Regions from separate parts of the Mus musculus genome. Here all the other regions are reported to be linked to region 2. Evidence: microRNA targets listed by miRTarBase, many of them from high-throughput screens and not tested one by one. Region 2 holds a microRNA gene; each other region holds the end of a gene's coding sequence.

Evidence for each region. The annotated mature microRNA mmu-miR-5135 reads AGGUCUAGGUGGCAAGGGCGUCCU and lies in region 2 at 2,115-2,138, opposite strand. An mRNA with a match to its seed (bases 2 to 7 or 8) in the 3' UTR can be bound and repressed. Matches are read on the target gene's strand: a 7mer-m8 pairs with bases 2 to 8, a 7mer-A1 pairs with bases 2 to 7 and ends in A, and an 8mer does both.
Region 1: the mRNA of Ostf1 is a reported target of mmu-miR-5135. Seed matches in the 3' UTR shown: 7mer-A1 at 2,127-2,133 and 7mer-A1 at 1,845-1,851.
Region 3: miRTarBase lists Hnrnpab as a target of mmu-miR-5135. Seed matches in the 3' UTR shown: 7mer-A1 at 1,426-1,432.
Region 4: the mRNA of Gls is a reported target of mmu-miR-5135. Seed matches in the 3' UTR shown: 7mer-A1 at 1,592-1,598.
Region 5: miRTarBase lists Sult1b1 as a target of mmu-miR-5135. Seed matches in the 3' UTR shown: 7mer-A1 at 2,171-2,177.
Region 6: miRTarBase lists Plin3 as a target of mmu-miR-5135. Seed matches in the 3' UTR shown: 7mer-A1 at 929-935.
Region 7: the mRNA of Stk11ip is a reported target of mmu-miR-5135. Seed matches in the 3' UTR shown: 7mer-A1 at 1,172-1,178.

The regions. Positions count from the first base shown.
Region 1 is chr19:18,578,746-18,581,827 of GRCm38, forward strand. It overlaps Ostf1 (osteoclast stimulating factor 1), which reads right to left. Exons shown (of 10, transcript NM_017375.3): 10 at 1,619-2,583. The coding sequence ends at 2,525. Among named protein-coding and RNA genes, the nearest start is that of Ostf1, 52 kb to the right of the region's middle.
Region 2 is chr12:76,531,029-76,534,110 of GRCm38, forward strand. Mir5135 (microRNA 5135) reads right to left here and starts at 2,184; the gene lies at 2,106-2,184. Plekhg3 (pleckstrin homology domain containing, family G (with RhoGef domain) member 3) reads left to right here and starts at 2,532. Exons shown (of 19, transcript NM_153804.4): 1 at 2,532-2,790.
Region 3 is chr11:51,598,829-51,601,910 of GRCm38, reverse strand. It overlaps Hnrnpab (heterogeneous nuclear ribonucleoprotein A/B), which reads left to right. Exons shown (of 8, transcript NM_001048061.1): 7 at 21-161; 8 at 433-1,811. The coding sequence ends at 503. It overlaps Phykpl (5-phosphohydroxy-L-lysine phospholyase), which reads right to left. Exons shown (of 13, transcript NM_028398.3): 11 at 2,315-2,445; 12 at 1,289-1,342. Among named protein-coding and RNA genes, the nearest start is that of Hnrnpab, 6.5 kb to the left of the region's middle.
Region 4 is chr1:52,163,422-52,166,503 of GRCm38, reverse strand. Gls (glutaminase) reads left to right here. Exons shown (of 18, transcript NM_001081081.2): 18 at 190-3,055. The coding sequence ends at 346. Among named protein-coding and RNA genes, the nearest start is that of Stat1, 46 kb to the right of the region's middle.
Region 5 is chr5:87,512,117-87,515,198 of GRCm38, forward strand. It overlaps Sult1b1 (sulfotransferase family 1B, member 1), which reads right to left. Exons shown (of 7, transcript NM_001382837.1): 7 at 1,211-2,945. The coding sequence ends at 2,824. Among named protein-coding and RNA genes, the nearest start is that of Sult1b1, 22 kb to the right of the region's middle.
Region 6 is chr17:56,277,055-56,280,136 of GRCm38, reverse strand. It overlaps Plin3 (perilipin 3), which reads left to right. Exons shown (of 8, transcript NM_025836.3): 8 at 64-1,175. The coding sequence ends at 405. Among named protein-coding and RNA genes, the nearest start is that of Ticam1, 1.8 kb to the right of the region's middle.
Region 7 is chr1:75,535,602-75,538,683 of GRCm38, forward strand. Stk11ip (serine/threonine kinase 11 interacting protein) reads left to right here. Exons shown (of 25, transcript NM_027886.3): 25 at 485-1,734. The coding sequence ends at 634. Among named protein-coding and RNA genes, the nearest start is that of Slc4a3, 9.3 kb to the right of the region's middle.

The DNA of each region.
Region 1 (3,082 bases), not on the chromosome of region 2:
GAAGGAACTGCTATCTTTCCAATTTTGCTTATTGAGAAATGCAAGCAGCTCGACTGGATTTATTAACAAGCCAGGCGTGGAGGCTCTCGAGTACAACCCCAGCACTTGGGAGGCAGGGGCAGGATTTGAGGACAGTTTGGGCTACACAGTGAGTGTCAGGGACAGCCTGGCGAGACTGTCTCAACCAACCAAAATGAAACAATGTAATAGCACAGCAGCTATTTGGAGGTGACAATATGCCTCTTAATTAATCCCAGAGGCCGTCTCTGCTGTCATTGCTTTTACAGGTTATTTGCAACTAAATTAGGTGAGGTATCTGAATGACCTCAAACTGGTCCCTCCAGGCACCTTTCTCAAGGGACCTACAGAGAGAAAAACCAGCTACAGGCAGAAGACACACCTGCACAGGCATTATTCATTTCCTGAGCTAGTCCACTTCCTTCTTCAACATTTCCCTCTCTTGACCAATACGCCTTTTGAAATAAGCAGTCAATTCTTAAAGATGTACTTCTGGGCCCAGGGCTGGGAAACTAGAAACACTGAGACCATGACATTTTTAACACAGTGACACAAAATTAGAATATTTTTAAAATTTTTAATTTTATTTGTAAATCATTTTTTGCACTCCATATTCCATTCCCTGTCCCTCCCCATCCACCCATCGACTGCTCCCCATACCTCCTCCCCAACCCATCCCATCTCCACGTGGATGCCCCCACCACCCCATCCCACCTGACCTCTAAACTCCCTGGGGCCTCCAGTCTCTTGAGGGTTAGATGCATCATCTCTGAATGAACACAGACCTTGAAGTCCTCTACTGTATGTGTGTTAGGGGCCTCATATCAGCTGGTGTATGCTGTCTGTTTGGTGGTCTAGTGTTTGAAAGATCTCGGGGTCCAGATTAAGACTGTTGGTCCTCCTGCATAATCGCCCTTCTCAGCTTCTTTCAGCCTTCCCTAATTCAACAAGGGTCAGCTGCTTCTGTCCATTGGTTGGGTTCAAACATCTGCATCTGACTCTTTCAGCTACTTGTTGGGTCTATAAGGGGGCTGGGGGGACCCCACCCCCACCCCCAGAATGCACCAGAGACCTGGGAGGTAAAAGACTCCTAAGACTCATAGGGAGGGACCCTTGATGAAATACCCGACAGTAAGGAGTGGGAACTTATAGAGCCCACCTCCAGCAGAAAGATAGGGCATCAAGTGAGCCATGGGGTTGTCATCCCACAGTCACACCTCTGACCCATAACTGTTTCTGTCTGAAAGAACTGCAGGGATAGAAATGGAAAGGAGCCTGAGGGAAAGAAGGTCTAGCAACAGGCCCAAAGTGAGTTCCAGCTCAAGGGGAGGTCCCAAGGCTATTTCCTGAGGCTATGGAGGGCTCACAAAAAGGGACCTAGCATGACTGCCCTCCAAAAGACCCAACAAATTAGAACTTTTAATGAAGTATCACACCAAGGCTTCCTGTATAGCCTGACTCAGCAAAGGAATCCAAACCCTTGTGAGGCAGACACGCGTTCTGAGAAAACATGTTATCTGAGAGAGTCAAGTTCATGCTTCCTAACAACGTCGCCCTGGAAATTACGGCAGCTTTCACAAAGAAACAGTCATGGTTTTCTAAGCTTCCACACTTTAATCAAACTGAAATGAGGTCACTGAGGTTCTACAGTCTAGGTACTACCCTGAATATAATTCTGAGTATATCGTAATTGTTAAAGTGTTATCTTTTCTTAGATATGCAATTGTGTTCTGTGTTGAACTGTGAGCCAGGCGGTGGTGGCCCACGCCTTTAAACCCAGCACTTGGGAGGCAGAGGCAGGTGGATTTCTGAGTTCGAGGCCAGCCTGGTCTACAGAGTGAGTTCCAGGACAGCCAGGGCTACACAGAGAAACATTGTCTCGGAAAAAAAACAAAACAAAACTAGGAAGCTGTGAGAGGAACACAGCATTGTGATTCTTCTGTGCTAATCAATATCAAATGTGATCTAAAAGTAACATCGAATCGGTTCTTACCTGAGTATAGAAAGCTTTATTTACCAGCAATGAGTGATAGCACAAAAACAGATAATAAAATCTCTTTAAATGTTTATTTTTGTCAGAAGAGCTGACAATTTTCTGTTGAGAGTTTTGGTCTATTGTTATAATAACCATTTCCCCCTTGAAAAACCCACTCAAAACATCTCATTCCTTGAGGTAAAGAACTTAAAAAAATGATTTTTTTTAAAAGAAAAAAAACTATTACAATTCCTTTAGCTTGATAAATAGAAATAATTTTTTTTCGTTTATTTTACCCTGGTGAGCATATATGTATTTTATACAACAAAGTATCTCTTCACTTATTGGCAAGGCGTGGGTGAGAATGACCCACCCTCACAACGACTCCTCACAGATCACAGTGCAGCAGTGTCGCGCTCATACAGACTTTAAAAGCAACAGTTATCAATACTCTTCTGGCAAACAACCCAGGCTCCGGAATGGCAAAAGCAAAAGAAGTTTAGGCAACAATCAAAGCGGCCCCGGGGGGAATCAGTCTGAGTCTTCGTCATCGAGGTAGTCCTCGGCGTTGCTTAACGTTCGAGCCCCATCTAAGGAGAAGACAGGAAGGAAGAAAATTACAAACAAAGGATTTACACACGGTTGAGACTGTTGTGCACCATCGGTGCTTTTGGTGATTGAAAACACGATCCTCTTCTCTCCAGCAGCAGAGCAAGATGCCCAAAGGGAAGAAGGCCAGGGGAAAGAAGGTGGCCCCGGACCCCGCCGTCGTCAAGAAGCAGGAGACCAAGAAGGTGGTCAACCCTCTGTTCGAGAAGAGGCCTAAGAACTTCGGCATTGGACAGGACATCCAGCCCAAAAGACATCTATCGCACTTTGTCAAATGGGCCCGCTACATCAGGCTGCAGCGGCAAAGAGCCATCCTCTACAAGCGGCTCAAAGTCCCTCCTGCCATTAACCAGTTCACCCAGGCCCTGGACAGGCAGACAGCTACTCAGCTGCTTAAGCTTGCCCACAAGTACAGGCCAGAGACAAAGCAAGAGAAGAAGCAAAGGCTACTGGCCCGTGCTGAGAAGAAAGCTGCTGGCA
Region 2 (3,082 bases):
TCTCCCTTCCAAGTGGAGGGGCTGAGATGATGAATTAATTTGTATTTGTTAGACACCCTGAGACCTCAGATTAAAGGCATTACTGAGACTCAAGGTGTTATTATAATAATAAATGATTTAATAGCAGGGCGAGGCCGCTCGCTGAAGCAAGAGCTGGTGGGAAGGCAGAAAGGCTCAACGCTGAGAAGGGGGCTGCGGCTCGGCTTGAGACCCTGGTCCTGACACTGACTCTTGGAGGCTTGGAGGTAGGAAACTGATTTTTTATAAAATCTTGCTTGTTTCATCTGGCTCCAGCATGGCCTTATTGAATGCTTCTTACAAGTTCTGCATAGTAAGATTACAATCTTTTCAGGAAATGGGCATATAAATTAAAGCAATTAGAAACAACTCGAGGCTTTAGAATCAAGTTCAGAATGGACTAACAAGTGTCTAGAAGGAAGTGGAGAAAGAGCTGGCTGGCTAAATGCAGTTTTCCCTGTGGGTAGAAACTCCCAGCTCTACCACCCACTAGCAGTATGACCAAGCCTCAGTTTCTCCTGTAACCGCAATTGTTCTTGTAAAATGCTCAAAGGTTAACACAGTAAGCACTCCAGTGTCGCCCCCTCAGACTACGCCCCTTGATGCAATTGATCTTGGCCAGACTGCTCCATCCTTAGAGCCTCAGTATTCTTCCTGCAAAATGGGAGTAAGTGTATTCCTGCCTTAGTGATTATAAAGTGCAGTGCACTTGGTAGCACCATTCCCTAACCATTACTATCATCAACATTTTATTTTTCTTTTCTAGCTAAGGAGCCAGTCATACATTCAAAAGTTTTAAATCTCTGGATTGGGGCTGGGGGACGTCTTTGGAAGTTGGGAGTTTAAGATTAGTAGGAAAGGACTGGTAAGATTTAACAGATTAGAGAAGAAACCAGAAACCCAGAAAGTTCGAGGTGGGAAGGAGTGGGGCTTCTCCCTTTCCCATCCCACCCCGTAGTTTTATCTCTCTCCCCCGTTCCCGGGTAATCTTGTTTCTCACCAGTGCTGTCCTCTAGTCTGCCGCTCTTCAAGCCTAACCTGTGGACTAAGTAACGTGAGCCTTACTTTCTGGCCCTCCCGCAGTCAGGAGCAAGGACTACTTTAATCTTTACTCTTCCCAGGGATCCCGTTTCAAAGTCACCTGAAAGCCATTTCCTCTCTCTCTGCCCCGCCCCTCCCCGTAAATCACTAGGTGCTTGCTTTTCCCTGGGGCAGCTTTTTTTTTTTTTTTTTTTGAGGGCAGTGGTGGAGGAGGGGATTTTATAAGCTATTTAGGATTTTCACTTGTCTACACTTGGCGGTCTAAATGCTGAGTTACTGGGGTCGATTCTCCATTCCTGTTCCAAGAACCTGGTGCCATCGTTTAACGCAGGAGTCCTACTTCTTCTGTGATCTCACACTGGGCTCCCATCTCCTACCCCTCTTCATGGTGCGTACTGGGGACAGCATCTAATGCTACCTCCCCTAAGATCTTTACCAATGAAAGATTTATTCTTAGTGAGGTGTAGTAGCGCACACCTATAATTCTAGCACTCTGGGGGATCACTCAAGAGTTCTGGGCTAGCTTGGGCTACAAAGTGTGGGCCTGTTTCAAATCAAAAAATAAAATAAAAACAATAATTAGGGCGTGGTGGTGCACACCAGTAATCCCAGCACTCCGGAGATAGAGGGTGGAGAACCATTACTCTCAAGATTACCCTCTGCCAGTCTCAGATAATTGAAATCCTGCTTCAAAAACAAAAACCACACAAAAGATTTATGTTCTTGCTCAAAATCTAACTGGTTTGTATTCTATGTGCTTGTGCTAATCATCCCCCAATTTTCCCATCCCCTAATTTCCCGGTACATGCCTTTTGTTGATAGATCGCACTCAAAATGGGGTCCACTGACATTCAGGTTCCTCGATCAGTTTTTCTCATTAACAGTCCCACTGAGCGCCGCGCCCCGCCCCGCCCCAAGTTATGCGCTTCTTATCTCTTTCTCCTCAGAAGGTAAGATTTTACAACTGTAAAGAGCCACCGAAACCTAGTTTCGGCGAGGAATTCGAGACGTGCCTTTCTGACTCAGCGGTCGTGGTGACCTGCTCCAGTAGGACCAGGACGCCCTTGCCACCTAGACCTGCGCTTCTCCTGGGAAAGTCTAGGTGGCTGGGCTCCGAGTCCTCTCTGGTCGGAACCTGGTCTGGAGGCTTTCGTTGCCCTCTCGGCGTGATATCAGGGCGGTGGCACTAGAGTAACCCCACCACGTGCGCCTTGGGATCCCAGAGTTCCAGGTGGCAAGGGGAGGCGGCCAGCGGGACCCACACGGCGGGCCACGCGCGTTAATCATTAGCCACGGCGGCCGCTGTCTACAGCGGGAGCCACAGCTCGCTCGCACCGCCGCGAAGGTTCCCCCGGGCCCCCCAGAGCCGCCAATTGCTGGATCGCAGCCGCGAGCGCAGTCTCCACCCACTGGAAACATTCCTGGTCCGCCCCTCCCTGGCTCCCTCCCTCTCCCTCTCTCTCTCCCTCCCTCCCTCCCGCCGCAGCCTGGACTCCGGCCGCAACTTCCTGCCCGGTGCTGGGGAACCGTGCGCATTTCGGGGGTCCCCCGGCGTCTGGTGCTCGCAGCGAGCAGAGGCTGGGACCGCGGGGCGGCCAGCCGTGGGCGGGAGCGGCCGGCGGCCTCTGCCGCTTCCGAGAGCGACTTTCAAACTCGAGCCCGCTTCGCGGCGCCACCTGGGCAGCCCCGCGCGCCTGGCGCGTCGCGAGCCGGCGGGGCGGCCACCGCTTGGTGAGTGTCCCTAGGTTTGCCTTTCTCTCTTTGCCCATGCTCGATTGGCTGAGTGGCAGCGCTCTGCGGAGACCCCAGGCTAGCCCTCTGTGGGATGAGGACCTGGCCCCGAGCTGCCTCGGACACACTCGGAGGAGGTTGGGTCGCGGGAAGGTCGTAAGGGGAGTCACTTTTTATCCCCACCCCGGAAACCAAAGCAGCATAGGCTTTGCAGAGTTTGAAATCCGGGCAGCTCTCGACATTCCCGCCACCCCTTCCTTGTGTGCCCTGACGCCCGTGGGCTAGTGCTTGC
Region 3 (3,082 bases), not on the chromosome of region 2:
TGCCCTGCTCCCCCCCACAGGTCAGAGTCAGAGTTGGAATCAGGGCTACGGCAACTACTGGAACCAGGGCTACGGCTACCAGCAGGGCTACGGGCCGGGCTATGGCGGCTACGACTACTCGCCCTATGGCTATTACGGCTACGGCCCCGGCTACGACTACAGTAAGTAGGAGAGGGAGGCCCTATCTACTTCCTCCTAGGGGAGGCAGGTTAGGTAGTGCAGGGGCCATTGGCAGCAGGGGCTTTGGAGTCAGACAGGCCTGGCACAGGCACTGGAGCTACTGAATGAAGCTCTAGCTTAGCCTTCTCAGTAAGGTGTAAGAAGCTGGTGTTGCTGTGTAGTGTTAATTTATTCTGAGGATGTGTGGCAAGCGCCTGGCACTGGGTAAATGTATAGTTAAAGTAGTAGCCACAACGTTGTTCTTATTCCTAGGTCAGGGTAGTACAAATTACGGAAAGAGCCAGCGACGTGGTGGTCATCAGAATAACTACAAGCCATACTGAGAGGCAGCAGGAGCGGCCGAGTGACGACCGCACACGCTTTGTTTGGACGCGGAGTGAACACAATTATGTACCAAATTTAACTTGGCAAACTTTTATGGCCTGTCCCATGTGCATCTTATTTAAAATTTCCCCCAGAAATCACTCTCCTGTTTACTATTCCAGAGCTCTAGTTGTAGGCAGCGTGTGGCGTCTCAGAGGCCAGAGCGGCACTAGGGGGCTGATTTTATTACCAGGTTACCCTGTTCTAGATCAGGAGGGTCTATTTCCTGTTGCCGCTCTGCAGCCTGGACCTGTGGACCCTGGTTGTAAAGAGTAAAACTGTATCTTAGGAAACCAGTGTCACCTTTTTCACCTTTTAATTTTATATTATTTGTGTCATACATTTCCAGTAATGGAAGTGTTAATTTTACTGTACTTTTTGGTACCTTTTGGGAATCTAATGTATTGTAAGGTATTTTACACGTGTCCTGATTTTGCCACGACCTGGATATTGAAGCTATCCAAGCTTTTGAAATAAAAATGAAAAACAAAACCCCCAAGCCTGGGTAAATGTGGGATGCTCTGTGAGACCTTGCCCAGTGTTGGAGATGCCAGGTCTCCTGTAGCAAAGCAGAGGTCCTTTAGTTATCCCATCTGATCTTTTTAGCTGCCCTTTTGTGCCCATTGTCTCCATAGCAGAGACCATCTTGCCATGTATTATATATATTCCATGTTCTTAGTTTCAGTCAAGTACAAGTTGAAATGTTGGGGATCTGCTGATGGAGGTGGGGCCAAGTCTGGCTTACCTGGGGGGTGCTTGATCCTCAGGGTTTCACAACTTCTTACTTTTTCTTCCATGTCTGGAAAATGATCACAGATCGTTTCTTTTTCCCCCCAAGACAGGGTTTCTCTGTAGCCCTGGTTAGGTTATCCTGGAACTCTGTAGACCAGGCTGGCCTTGAACTCAGAAATCCACCTGGCTCTGCCTCCCAAGTGCTGGGATTAAAGGCGTGCGCCACCACGCCTGGCCTACCCTCAGTTTCTAAGATGCTTGGGATAGTTTAGAGATTGGCTTATGTCTCATCATTTCCCTAGCACAGATGGTCCCTTTGTAAGCCCAGTCACCACTCACTGTTCTGTACACATAGAACCCTCTAAGAAATGTATCAATTCCAAAACGCAGTAGGGGTGGCTAACAAGCAGGAATAGGAAGGGATCCTTGGTAGCTTGTTTTTTGTCTGTTGGGATCTGAGCTTTGTATAACAACCACTTTGGTGTATAGTCATTTCTAGTTCGGTAGTTTTCTTAAATAAATTGAGGGAGACCTTGGGCTGTTCTTGACCTTGAGTGATTTAAAGGTTATGGGGAGGATTTGACTCTAGCCAGCCAGCCATTTTAGCCACTCACATGTGAGGGTGCCCCTATCTTGAAGATAAAATGAAGCTCCTGTCATTAACAGTTTCTTTTGGTTTTTTGAGACAGGATTTCTTTGTTTGATGGCCCTTGGCTGTCTTGGAACTTTATAGACCAGGCTGGGATTGAGGATGTGTGCCATCGCTGCTGGGGTGAACATGAAGGCATCTTGCATTTTAAAAAAGATAAGGTGTAGGTAGCCCAGGATTATCTTGAGCATGTGATCTCCCCCATTCTACCTACCAAATTTTGGGATCATAGGTGGTGATGCCCATGTTTAGTCAGTGCAAGTTGCTACTGGTTACAAAGGCCATCCTTTCTGATCTAATGGATACTTGTTATAAGATCCCTGGCGCATGCTGGGAGGCTCTAGTTACACAAGGGCTGATCTATGCTAGATGGGATTCTATCAAGTTTACCTGTTAGAATGTCATCCAGCTTTGCTACCACATGTTGTGCATTGTCAACGTTGAAGCACATTGGGGGCTTGAACTTCAGAATATTCTTTCCAGGGCCATCAATGCTCAGTAAAATGTAGTTTTCCTTTAGCCTGCAAGAACAAGATACTTCACAGACAGGCCCCTGTCCTCTGACTATCTGAAGTTAACCTTGAACTGGCACCCACCTTACTTTACCTCTGGCCAATTAACTTGTCCTCACCCAAGGTACACATAATTTGTTAAGCCTACCACTGTCTATGTGGAACTTGCTCTGTAGATCTGGCCTTGAACTCTTGAGACTGACTTGCCTCTGCCTCCTAAGTGCTGGAATTAAAGGCATGTGCTACTGCCACCACCATCCATGACAGTTTTTAAGTTTCACAAGATTTTAGCAAATTGCCCAGGCTTTAATTTGCTCTGATTGTAATCCAGGCCACCACATCACCATGCCCACCCAGCACTATATTATCACTATGTAGTCCAGATACTGGTAACCCAGGGGTATGAAAGGATTATATTTTTGAATCTCCAGTTTTTGTGCTAGAGAGAAAGGTTACACCCAGGACAATAGCCAGCCCTTAGACTGCAATTAGAACGCCCTGGCCCTGACTTCTAATCTCTGATCCTCATTTGAGTGGATAAGCTGGCTAATGTCACTTACTATTGAGTAGGTAAATAAATTTTACAATGTGAATGTTCAAACTCCAGGAGGCTTCATGGTTGGAGTAAGTTCATTAGAAGGTGGTG
Region 4 (3,082 bases), not on the chromosome of region 2:
TCACACCAGTGTCTGAACTCTAAGAACTTTTTTGTGTGTTTTGGGGGGTGGGGGAGTCTCACTTGTAATACTGCTAAAGTATAGATGAACGTCAACAGCCGTGGAGCTTGGATGGAAAACCTGGGGGTGCCGGAGCACTGTCTCCGAGCAGCAGTTCCTTGACTAACGACCCTGTCTGCTGTGCTGCAGGTGGAATAATACCCCCATGGATGAAGCACTACACTTTGGACACCATGATGTTTTTAAAATCCTTCAGGAATACCAAGTTCAGTACACACCTCAAGGGGATTCTGATGATGGAAAGGGAAACCAGACTGTCCACAAGAATCTCGACGGGTTGCTATAATGGTCTGCACCCCAAGACTTCCATTACTTACCTAGTCATTGTGGAACATGACTATGGAGAGCATTGTATATTTCTATCTGGTAGTAATGTGTATTTACAACATCTGTCACTGCAGTGTTACCGGAGCTTCCTTCATTGTGCGCACACGACAAATCTGAGTTCTTTGGGAAAAAAATAGAAATGAAGCAGCCTCCCTTCATAATGTGAGCAATAGTTACCTCGTGCATTGTACAATGTGGTGTAAAAGAGTAGTTACCAATGCCAGCTGAACTGTGTGGTCTTCATGGTTTGCGTTCTGTACATTTTCAAGCCCTGGTGATGATACGCTCATATGCACTTAGGAGTGAGCTTTGTTGTACAGTCTGTCCACGGGGTCGATGCTGTTATTAGGTGAAAATAGTGTGATCTTTAAGACTTTAAATACAGATTTAGTTTTGAGTGTTTGAGAGACCACTACACTTGTATGGTTGAGTGTTTAAAATGTCTATCACCCTCACTTCAGAGTGTGACTCTTTAAATATTAAAATAGATACTAACTGTTCATAGAACAGGCCGATTCTGATTAGATTTTATCAGGGAATCTGTTAAGATATGTTTGGTGACCAAAACGTATGTGTGAATATAGTTCTAGCACTTTTAAATTTTTCCTTTCCATACAACGCTTGGGCCAGCCTCTCTGTGCTGCGTGGCTGTCGGTCCCCCTCAGCTGGGAAAGAGAGCACTGGCTCACTGTGCAGTTTTCATGTTTCCTCAGCAAGCCATCAAGCCTCACATCTCTACCATCAGAGATAGAGCTTGGCCATTTATCTAAGGAAGATGAGCCAAAATTATGACATCTAAAATAATCGTCAGTCTTAAGAGTAAAGACAGCGAAACTGCACACTTATAAGTTCTTTTCAGCTTCTACAATAAAGAAAAGTTCAGAAATGCTTTCAGTTACCAAAGTTATAACGATATATTTAGGAAAAGCTACAAATAACACTTACTTTGAATCCTGCTGTCAAATGTCTGCATCAAGATAGCACCCCTTTGTGGGAGGCCCTGAGTATCTTCTCTTCCTCTACTGCCTAACTGTTGGTGGGCTGTATCATTCAATAAGATCACTTCATTTTCAACTTAGACCCACCGTTTCTTTTTTGTTGTTTTGTTTTGTTTGGTTTGGTTTGGTTGGGTTGGGTTGTTGTTTTTGGTTTTTTCGAGACAGGGTTTCTCTGTGTAGCCCTGGCTGTCCTGGAACTCACTTTGTAGACCAGGCTGGCCTTGAACTCAGAAATCCGCCTGCCTCTGCCTCCCGAGTGCTGGGATTAAAGGTGCAAACTACCACGCCTGGCAGACCCACCATTTCTTTGCTTTGGAAAGGTAATTTATGATTAACTTAGATAATAGGTAAAAGCGACCTTACAAAAAACATAATTATCTAGGAGTCCCACATACTGGACCTACCCTATTATACCTCCAAGAGATAAAGGGTATGTTAGTGAGGACTTTTGCACACAAGTGCATGCACACTTGGCATACACACACACACACACACACACACACACACACACACACACACACGGACTTCTTGGAAACTGCTTTATGAAGAAACTGCTTTATGAAATAAGCAAAATTCTCAAGTGCACAGATACTAGCAGTTATGACAGTAATACAGCGTCTTCTGTGACCCTCACTACCTGCACTGCTTGCATCCCTGCTTTATGCCTGGTGGCACATTATTCACCCGGTAACCTCCAGCTGCTTTGATCCTGTTTCAGTCAAAGTCAGCTTCAGCCACCCCCTCCATTCCCTAGCCAGCTCCACCCTTGATGAAACTGTGGCTAATGTTCCTTCACTAGGACAGGCACCATGAGTGTGTTTCTAAGTTCCAGAGTCTGTGGGGAGGATGGTGGGTGGGCAGCCAGCCCTGTTGCTATGTTGCTTCTTCCACACCCCCTCAAGACAGGTGCATAGGTGGCACTGGGAACATCCTACGCAGGGACAACCTCCAAAATTAATGGGTGAACATGGTTTTTTTGGAATCAACTGAGATAATGCTATTTCAATAGCGGCTGGCTTTTTGTGATTCAGTAACTTAAATATTGCCAGTGACTGAGGATCCCCTCCAGTCATGGTTCTGTATATTCTTTGAGACAGGTGTTTTCATCTTCTCTCAGCTCAGTGCTGTTTTGTACAGTCTCTGTGGCTTGGTTGAGTATGCTCTTTCCTGTGCCAGGTCTTGCTCTGGCTGTTCGCTACTGGCTGATAATAACAAGGACCCTGTGTGTGTGTGAATGAGCCGCTAACTGCTACCATCTGTAAACTCCAAAGATCTGTTTGTTTTGGCTTTACAATCTTAGCTAATTTTTCTGTATCCTGGAACCATTACATGATCATGTTGCTTTGAAGATCTTTTTATGCCACTGTTTCTGCTGTCTTGGTTCTGACACCCCTGTCTGGTGATATGCTATACCCCAGTGCTGCCTACACGTGCTTTAGCTGTAGAGCTGGGTATACTGTTGATCCAGCTGTCCGTCAGGGACTTGATAACCTGATGTTTGATGTAGATCCCTGCTGGGGAGTCCACAACTATGAATGTATTTACTTCCAACATTTCCCAAAATGAAAACTATAAATTGCAAGTATTCTGGAATTGGGAAATACTTATTTTAAATGAGATCAGGTAGTGTTGCTTTTTACAGCATAATAAATATGTGTATTGAAAACAAACTATGAGAAAAAGTGTTTTCTTTTTTA
Region 5 (3,082 bases), not on the chromosome of region 2:
TGTTTCCTTGTATTTCTTTAAGAGATGTATGTGTTACCTCTTTAAAGAATTCTACCTGTTTACCTGTGTTCTCTTGTATTTCTTTAAGGGAGTTATTTATGTCCTCTTTAAGGTCCTCTATCATCTTCATGAGATGGGATTTTAGGTCAGAATCTTGTTCTTTAGGTGTGTTAGGCTATCTATAGCTTGCTGTAGTAGGAGAACTGGGATCTGATTTTGTAAAGTCATATTGGTTCTGTTGTTTTTATGCTTGCCTCTTGCCATCTGGTTATCTCTAGTATTAAATGGCCTTGCTGTCTCTGACTGGAGCCTGTCCCTCCTCTGAGCCTGGCTATGATCACCTCAGGCCAGGCTGTCTATGTATGTGGATTCGAGTCTGGAACACCTAATTTGTGAGCCTGGCTGTAGAGTACCTCGTTGGAGTGATGCTGTCTCTAGTTGTGAGAAGAGTTGGGGCAGAGTGCTAGAGCATATAATCTGCCTCTAGGCAAAGTTGCAGTTTGGGCAGGAAATATGTCCCCAGCAGGGTGGGAGGTCCTGCATCCTCTGGGTCACAGGGACACTTGTCACTTAGGACAAGTACTGGGATTGGGGGCATGGTCTTACCTGTGAGTTTAGTTGTGTTGGAACTCTTAGGAATCAAGCTGTCCATAACTATTTCTTACAGATATTATTGTTTTGAAGTTAAAAATATAGCTCATACCATAAAAGAAATGAGATATAGTTTATTCTGCAGATGAATATAAATGACTATAGCCCAAGAACACAGATCTAGGTTAGCCCAAATATCATGGTGGTGATTATATGACATAGTATTCTGCCTTCAAAACTTTTTAAGGATAAAACTTTTTCAGACTGGATGAAGTTAGTGACATGTACTGAGACAAGTCAGGAACAGATTCACATCAAAACAGGGATAGGAGAAAGGGGCCAGCTAACTCACCCTTTGAAATTCTACTCAACCAGTGCTTATCTTGCTGTGATGAACGGATGCCATAAGGCATTCTTTGAACTTTTTAAGACAAAGAGGCTATGAAATGTTGAATGAGATTTTCCATTGTTACTTTCTATCACAATTCTTACATTATTCAGTTAAAAACAGAATAATACTCTTATGGTTTCTCTTTGTAAATTGGTGAATAAGGTAAAAGCAAAGCATTGCAAGTTAACTTACTGGCAGTGTTTTGGATGGTATAAAAAGATCAAAGGATTTTTGAAAAGTAAAGAAAAATATACACTTTATTTTTTTCAAATTATATTTTTTGCACTTCAAAATCACTTGAAGAATAGTTCAAGTTTATAAAGTTACTATTGTTGAACAGAATTAAACAAAATTCCTGAAAAGGAAAGCCAAAGTTACTTCATTGTACTAGTGAAGGTAGATGATTCAAGCAAGCCATTACAACAAAATTAGTCTAGGTCACAGATGCTTATTATTTTTTCCTATAACTTGAGGTTGTATCAGATTGTGGGTCACATTAACTTATTGGTATTGATAATAAGGCAAATTAAGTATCTGCCTACATTGGCTTAATTTTTTTCCTGAGAAGAATATTCTCCAAGTCAAATTATATTTTCATACCTACAAATATTTTATATAACTTCTACAAGATATTTCTTAGCATTAGAACACATGTTTCATAACTTGAAGAAATTATAAACCATGTTATGAAGCAGCTATCTCTCTAAGCAAAGATGTGTATTTTCTGTGAGTTTGCACTTGTACTGGATGACTTTCTTTGAAGTTGAAACAAGGACTTGTAGCTAAGACTCACTTGTAAAAATACAAATTCTTTTACCTATTCTCATATCAGCTATGGTTGAGAGTGTGTTTACATTGTAAATGAAGCCTCCATCTTTTGAATAGGTAAAGGAGAAATCTAGAGCTCATCAACTCGCTTTAGTTTGGAGACAGTTTGAGATACAATTTTACATAGGTTGATATTACCTACAGGCAGGAAACCTTTTCACACAAAGAGTTATACATTTCTCTGTCCAAGATATATCTGGACGTGAATAGGGCAGAGATTGAATAGGTTCTCAGAGATAAGCTCACAGCTCAAGGGAAAAGTTCTAAACAAAATAATGTGGCCAGGTGATGGTGGCATATGCCTTTAAACCCAGCACTTGGGAGGTAGAGGTAGGTGAATTTCCGAATTTGAGGCCAGCCTGGTCTACACTATTTCCAAGTCTCAGCTACTTGATCTGACACATGGAATAATATTACTGAAGAACCATGGTAGAAGGATAATTGATAACTCACAGAACAGCATGAAAACCTTGAGATAGCCAGGGAGCATAGTGTCCTGGGTCAGATATCCAGGAGAGGGAACCTAACAAGTGTAGAAAATGCAGACCATTTGCAACCTTGCAAACTGTTTTAATAGTGAAGGAAACATAACTCTAAGAAGCGCTTAGTGTTCTCTAAGTACTTTCTCTAAGTACTTTCTCTAAGTACTACTACATGGGAGACACAGTGGAAAGTATAGTCTCCTGTGAAATATGTTTTGCAAGAACATGTTTCATATTCTGAAACAAATTATATTCCATATTATAATAAACTCAGACCAACTTCTTTTTTTTTCAAAAGTCACAAAATGTATTTATTCAACTCAGTAAGAATCTAGAAATCTGAAGACATATCCTTTGAAAACTAAGGTAACAAAAGACCTTGGCTCTAGATCATTTGGAAGATTACCTGCTGGGGAATGTGTAGTATGTTTTCAATTAGCATTTTTAAAGCACATTTATTTTTCCTTCATGAATCTATTTGATTTCTCTTCCAGGTTACTATTTTAAGAAACCATATATTCAAGTTGTAGATTAGGCACTCTGAATGTCTGTGCAGAACTCAAGTGTTGTTCCAGACATCTTCTTCTTATAGACAGCATCAAATTGCTCAGTTTGGGTCATTGTGAAGTAATTTTTCCAGTCCCCAACAATACCTGAAAATAATAATAACACATGAAAGAGTAAAACACGAATTACAAAGAAAAAACTAACAGACACCAGGGAAAGGCAGGATACTTAAGGGATGAAGTTGAAAAATAATTCATTTGCTTCAAAGAAAATTTCTAATATG
Region 6 (3,082 bases), not on the chromosome of region 2:
AGCAGGGCTCTGCACCCTACTGGCCCTCAATACCCTGACCCCACCCCAATCTCCCCCTTCCAGCAGGTGGAGGCCCGGGCACTCAGCATGTTCAGGGACATCACCCAGCAGCTGCAGAGCATGTGTGTGGCCCTGGGGGCCAGCATCCAGGGCTTGCCCAGCCACGTCAGGGAGCAGGCACAGCAGGCCCGCAGCCAGGTGAACGACCTTCAGGCCACCTTCTCCGGCATTCACTCCTTCCAGGACCTCTCAGCCGGCGTTCTTGCCCAAACTCGGGAGCGCATAGCCAGAGCCCGGGAGGCCCTAGACAACACTGTGGAGTACGTGGCCCAGAACACTCCAGCCATGTGGCTGGTGGGCCCCTTCGCTCCTGGAATCACAGAGAAAACCCCTGAAGGGAAGTAGGGAGAAGGTTCAGGGCCAACATCTATCTGGCTTGACTGCTTTTCCCAACAGTCCAATTGCACAACAGGTCCTCCCCTACTGAGTCTGAATGAGACATGTGTTTAACCTATTCCCATCAGTCTTTTAAAGCAATTTTTTTTCTAGAATGTTCCAGGGGTAAAAAGATCCAGAACATTCTAGAAAAAAAAAATGTTTTTTTCCTAAAAAAAAAAAAAAAAAAAAAATGAGGAATGAGGGTAATGAATAGTGATAGCACTAGTCTGTCATCCTGTGTCAGCACTGTGGTATAGAGGCAAGAGGGTCACAGGTTCAAAGCCCGGCTGCCACATCACAAATTCAGTGATAGTCTAAGCTACATTAGACCTTGTCTTGAAGTAAAAAAAGGCATAATGATTTTTCACTCCGGGTTTCTTTTCTACATCATGGCCCACAATAGCAAGAGCTTTTCTTGTTTGTTTTTTTTTTTTTTTTCCTGAGACAGGGTTTCTCTGTATAGCCCCTGGCTGTCCTGGAACTCACTTTGTAGACCAGGCTGGCCTTGAACTCAGAAATCCACCTGCCTCTGCCTCCTGAGTGCTGGGATTAAAGGCCGGCTAGCAAGAGCTTTTCTAACAGACCCTGATACCTGGCCCAAGAACCCAGCAACTGTGACAGGATAGACAGCTGGGATGTTGCAATTGTTTCAGATGAGAAAGTGAGGGCCGAGTACACTGTTCCTCAAATCCTGGGGCTCAGTATTGCCTTAATAAATTTTATATGCATCAGAGGCCAAGTGGATGGTGTATATGTGTGTTGCCTTCCTAGGAGCTGAGCTGCCCTGACATCCCTAGAGACCTTCTTCCTTCTGTCTCTACTCTATGCACAGTGCGAGTCTTCCCACTTTGAATGTTGGACGTGATCACTTGTGACCCTGTGGGGACAGCAGGAAGGGCCTGCTGCCTATTTTCCCTCCGTCTCTGTGATGTATGGAGAAGGGTCAGTGTGACAAGCTGAGCCTGCCAAATATGCCCACAGTCTGTTCCCCTTGATCTCAGGGAAGGTGGGGACAAGAAGATCTGGAGTTCAGGGTCATCCTTGACTACCTAGTAAGTTTGAAACTAACCTGGGCTACTTTGAGACTATGTTTCAAAACAGCAAAACTCGGGGCAGGAGAGCTGCCTGCTGTGGTAAAGTGCTTGGAGTTGTTTGGTTTGCGGTAGAAACTGAGAAAACTTACTTCAGAGACAGAAGCTTAAAAAATAAAAGCTTTATTTTCTGCACTGGCAGGGAGGTGGCCAGTTGGGGATCTGAACCCTGATGAGAGACTGCACGACGCTTTTTATAGGATGGGAACACAAAGCGAAGGGGACCTGGGTACTGACCAATCATATCTTGACACAAAGGGTTAAACAAGGACTTAACACTGGTGACTAGGTCTTATCTGGGTCACCTGGTTTCAGGGTCCTTGAGTCAGCTTTTACAGCCTAGTCCCCTCCTGGACTCTGACCTGGAATCTAGTGTGGTGAAGGACCAAAGGAGTGGGTGAGCCGCAGTAGTCAGTTAAATCAAGGCAGGGACACACTAACGACTTGTGTGCTTTAGTTTGGATAACTGGAGAACAGCATCTTCCTTCCTTACAGCCTTCACTGGCTAACAGACAAACATGAAAGATCTAAGAAGCAGGATAGGAGTTGTATTCTGGGGCCTGGGAACATGAACTCAGTCTTGACCCTGCCAGCAAGATAGAACTTGTTTCTGAGATGGCTGGACTCAGGAAACTGTCTCCTAAAGATGTGACCAAGAGCAAACACTTGATGTCAACCTCCAACTTACACAAATACGTGTGCATATGTAAGCATGAAAATGTGGAGAAGTCCGTCTGCTACCTGCTTTGGGGAGATGAGTGTCCAGAGTCTGGGAGAGATTGAGTTCAGTGGCATGAGGCAGATACTCCTGCCTAGACTCCCCAGCAAGAGGGTGGGGTGGTTCTCCTTTGTGCACCTCATCTTCCAGTCATAGTCCTCTGGGAACTGCTGCTTTTCTGTTTTCACAATTTAGTTTTATCAGTTTTAAAACATGCCATAGGGCTGGAGAGATGGCTCAGTGGCTAAGAGCACTGGCTACTCTTCCAGAGGTCCCCGAGTTCAACCCCTAGCAACCACATCCATCAGATGTGGCTCACAACCGACTGTAATGAGATCTGATGCCCTCTTCTGGTGTATCTGAAGAGAGCCAGAGTGTACTCATACGTAAAATAAATAAATAAAGCTTTAAAGTATGCCTGTAATCTCACCATCTAGCTGAGCTAGGAGGATAGCCCCAAGTCCCAGTATGCATACACAGACCGTTTCTCAAAAGTAAATACCCAGAAATCTCCGACAAATCTTTGTGTTGTGTCTCTGTGACGGCTCAGCAAGTAATGGTACTTGCGGTTCTTTGACCTACATTCATACATGCCTGCATGCACATACATACACACAACACCAAGTAAAATCAAGTAAAGAATTAAAAATATTTACAACCTAACAGTTGTATAAAACCTTGTGGCCTCCAGCACTTCTGTTTACTTATCTTGTATGAACTTATTTTTGAGATGGAGGTCTCACTCTGTGGGTCAGGCTTCCTTGGAACTCTGGGCAATCTCTCTGCTTTAGTTTTCTGTGTGATGCTGGACTGACAAGTGTGAGTCATCAGGTTC
Region 7 (3,082 bases), not on the chromosome of region 2:
TGTGGCAGTGTCCTGGCCTTGGAGCCCGGTACTGAAATACCTAGCTGGTGTGAGTTGGTGTGATCAGCCTACCCACACTGTATGCCAACTGGTTGACCTTCACAACTCCAACATGAGGAGGAGGTGCTGTTGTTGATCCTGTCTTACAGATGATGGAACTAAGGCTCAGAGACATGAAACTTGTGCAGGTCACAAGAGTAGAGTCAGGAGTTGAACCTGCACAGTTCTTGGAATTGACGTTAGAACTCACGTTCCCTACAGCATGGAAGATAGAGACGGAACTGTGAACACCAGTCCTCTAGAGCCCTCAGACAGTGCGCTTTAAGGCTCAGAGTCGCCCTTTAATGCAGTGTCACACAGACCTGAGGCAGGGGAGGAGGGGGAAGAGCCTTTAAAAGCCGAGGGTGTGGTGTCTTTTCCTAAGATTCTGGACTCTTGGTATGTCTCTCACTGTGTTTCCCTTGCCTGCTGCTCAATCTACCAGGTGTCTCGACTGGAGAGTTTCTGGGCCCTTCATGTTGTGTGTGGGGAGCAGCTGACAGCCCTGCTGGCCTGGATTCGGGAGCCCTGGGAAGAGTTGTTCTCCATTGGACTCCGGACAGTAACCCAGGAGGCTCTGGACCTGGACCGATGAGGCCTCTTCACTGACTTCGCTGCCTCCCCCTGGAGTTGCACTGCCGATGCGATGCCCTTTTTCCTAGTCTCTAGGTCTGGCTGCTTGCCTGGCTGCTGTTGGCCATTGGCTTGGGAAGCTCCAATGACCACAGCTTAAGAGAAGGACAAGAGAATCCATCTGGCCCTTGGGTGACCTGCCTAATAGAGCAGGCTAAGTGGTCAGTGCAAACATTTCTCCAGCACTTACTCTCAGGTATCAATAAAGTTGTTGCCAGGTGTCATGGGTAGTATGTAGAAATGTCTCCCAGCAAGCCTGCCATCCCCTAATCTCTTCCCGGAAGCAACCTTGTTTGCACTGAGACCTGTCCCCAGCCCTTCTCTAGCAAAGTAGGATTACTGACCCTGATGTACCCAGTCCCCAAGCAGGTTGCGACCTATCCAGTGGCCTTGCATGGGATCACTGCCAGTCAATTAGTTGGGTCCCTTAAGATTTTTCATTATTCTTTTTGAGACAGGGTCTCACTGTGTAACCTTGGCTAGCCTGGAACTTTCTGTGTAGACCAGGCTGGCCTTGAACTCATGGAGACCTGCCTACCTCTGCCTTCTAAGTGTTGAGATTAATGGCGTGAGCCACCAATTGTGAAAAAGTTGTGAACTTCCCCTCTTCCCAAAGTTTACATTTTATGTAAAGACCTGCAATAAAAAGTGAGATCCTGTCATTGCTGACTCTGGAAGTCACCTCTTGAGCGAAGCACTGTACCTGTCCAGAAATTTCAATGCATATACACGCACATGTGCATATCCCCCCCCACACACCCCCCCCCCCCCACATTCCCAAAAAGAGTAGCTAGTTCAGCTATCAATGGAGAGACGATTCTTGGGGTTGGTTTCTCCCAGGCGATGCCCTGTCTGGTCTGCTGGGAGGGTGAGGGGGAAATGCTAAGTCTTAGGACTGGCTGGCCAATGGGAAGTGCCCTTGGAATAGCTGTCCTCTGGTACTGCCTGCAGGGGACCCAGACAGGCCTGTTCAGAGGCTCTCAAAGTAATCTCACCTACTTCTGTTTTGTTCAACGCTGCCCTGAATTTTTAATTGAAGTAAATTAAAACTTCCCCAAAGTATTAGTCCACTTTCTCAGTGGTTTGCACGACACTGTCCCATCTGTGACGCCGAGCTGTCTGAAAGCAGAAAACTGAAGAAAACCTGTTCAGCCTCTGGCCCAAATCTACCCTTTTGCACAGATCTCTTAGCAACGGCAACAGCAGAAACAGGTCACAGTGCAGGTAGGACAGAAGAATCTTGCCATTTAGGCTGCAGTGCACAGAGGTGTGAACCTTCGGAGTCCAGGCATCTTCCAAGTCTTTGTGCTTCTAGTTTCAGAAACATCTTTGTTTAGCAGTGACAGTCCTTGGCAGCATTGTGAAGAGGTGTTCGTTTTGTGCCCCAGAAGACATTATCAGGACTGAGGCCATTACCACTTAGGGAGGTGACTATAGCATAGGTGTCAAGAGGCTCTTGCCTCACATGCTCTGGGCTGTCCCCAGAGATCAATTGGTCCATTCAGTCTGCTCTCCCCATCCCTCCCCCAGCCCAGCAAGTACTTATTGATTGTCTGGCCCTAGGCTGGCATGAGGAACACAACACTTGCCAGAGGCCTGGTGACTCCTGGAAAGCAGTGGAGAGAAAATTCTGAAACCACCATACCAGCGCACTGCATTTCCCATAAAAGGAGTGGGGGAGGGGATTATGGCTTACTATCTGCTTGTATGTGTTTAGATCCTAAAGGGATGACAGGAATTGGTGGGAGATAGAGTTGAGGGGAGGCAGAAGGGGATAGTATGACATTGAAGGTTTCACTCTTGGGTTTTTTCAAGACAAGTTTTCCCTGGCTGGCCTTAAACTCAGAAATTTGTCTGCCTCTGCCTCCCAATGCTGGATTAAAAGTGTGAGCCCAACTTGAGGAGTTGGCTGTTTAAAAGGGAAATTTAAGTGCTTCAAATTCTCATAGACCCAAAAGTTACACTTAAATTTTCTGAGGCCTTATGGGGTTAAATGATTCTAGGACTGGCTGAGGGGAGCTGGCCTGCTAAAGAACTCGTCTCCTTCTAGGAGGTGGCCCTGAGGATGAGTCACTTTTGATGGAGGGATGAGTAGCATCCTTCTTTCTCTGTTAAGATTCTACAGTGAAGTCTGGGAGGTAGAAGCGGCACAAGCCGTTAATCCCAGCACTTGGGAGGATGAGGCAGGAGAAGCTCTGAGTTTGAGGCCAGCCAGGTTTATAAAGCAAGTTCCAGGCTAGATAGGGCAGTTATAGAGAGAAGCTCTATCTCAAAATCCCCCCAAAGATTGTCTGTCTGTCTGTCTGTCTATCTATCTATCTATCTATCTATCTATCTATCTATCTATCTATCTATCTATCTATCTATCTCTATCTGGGGGGAGGGGGGGAAGGAAGGTGGTGGTGGGGGA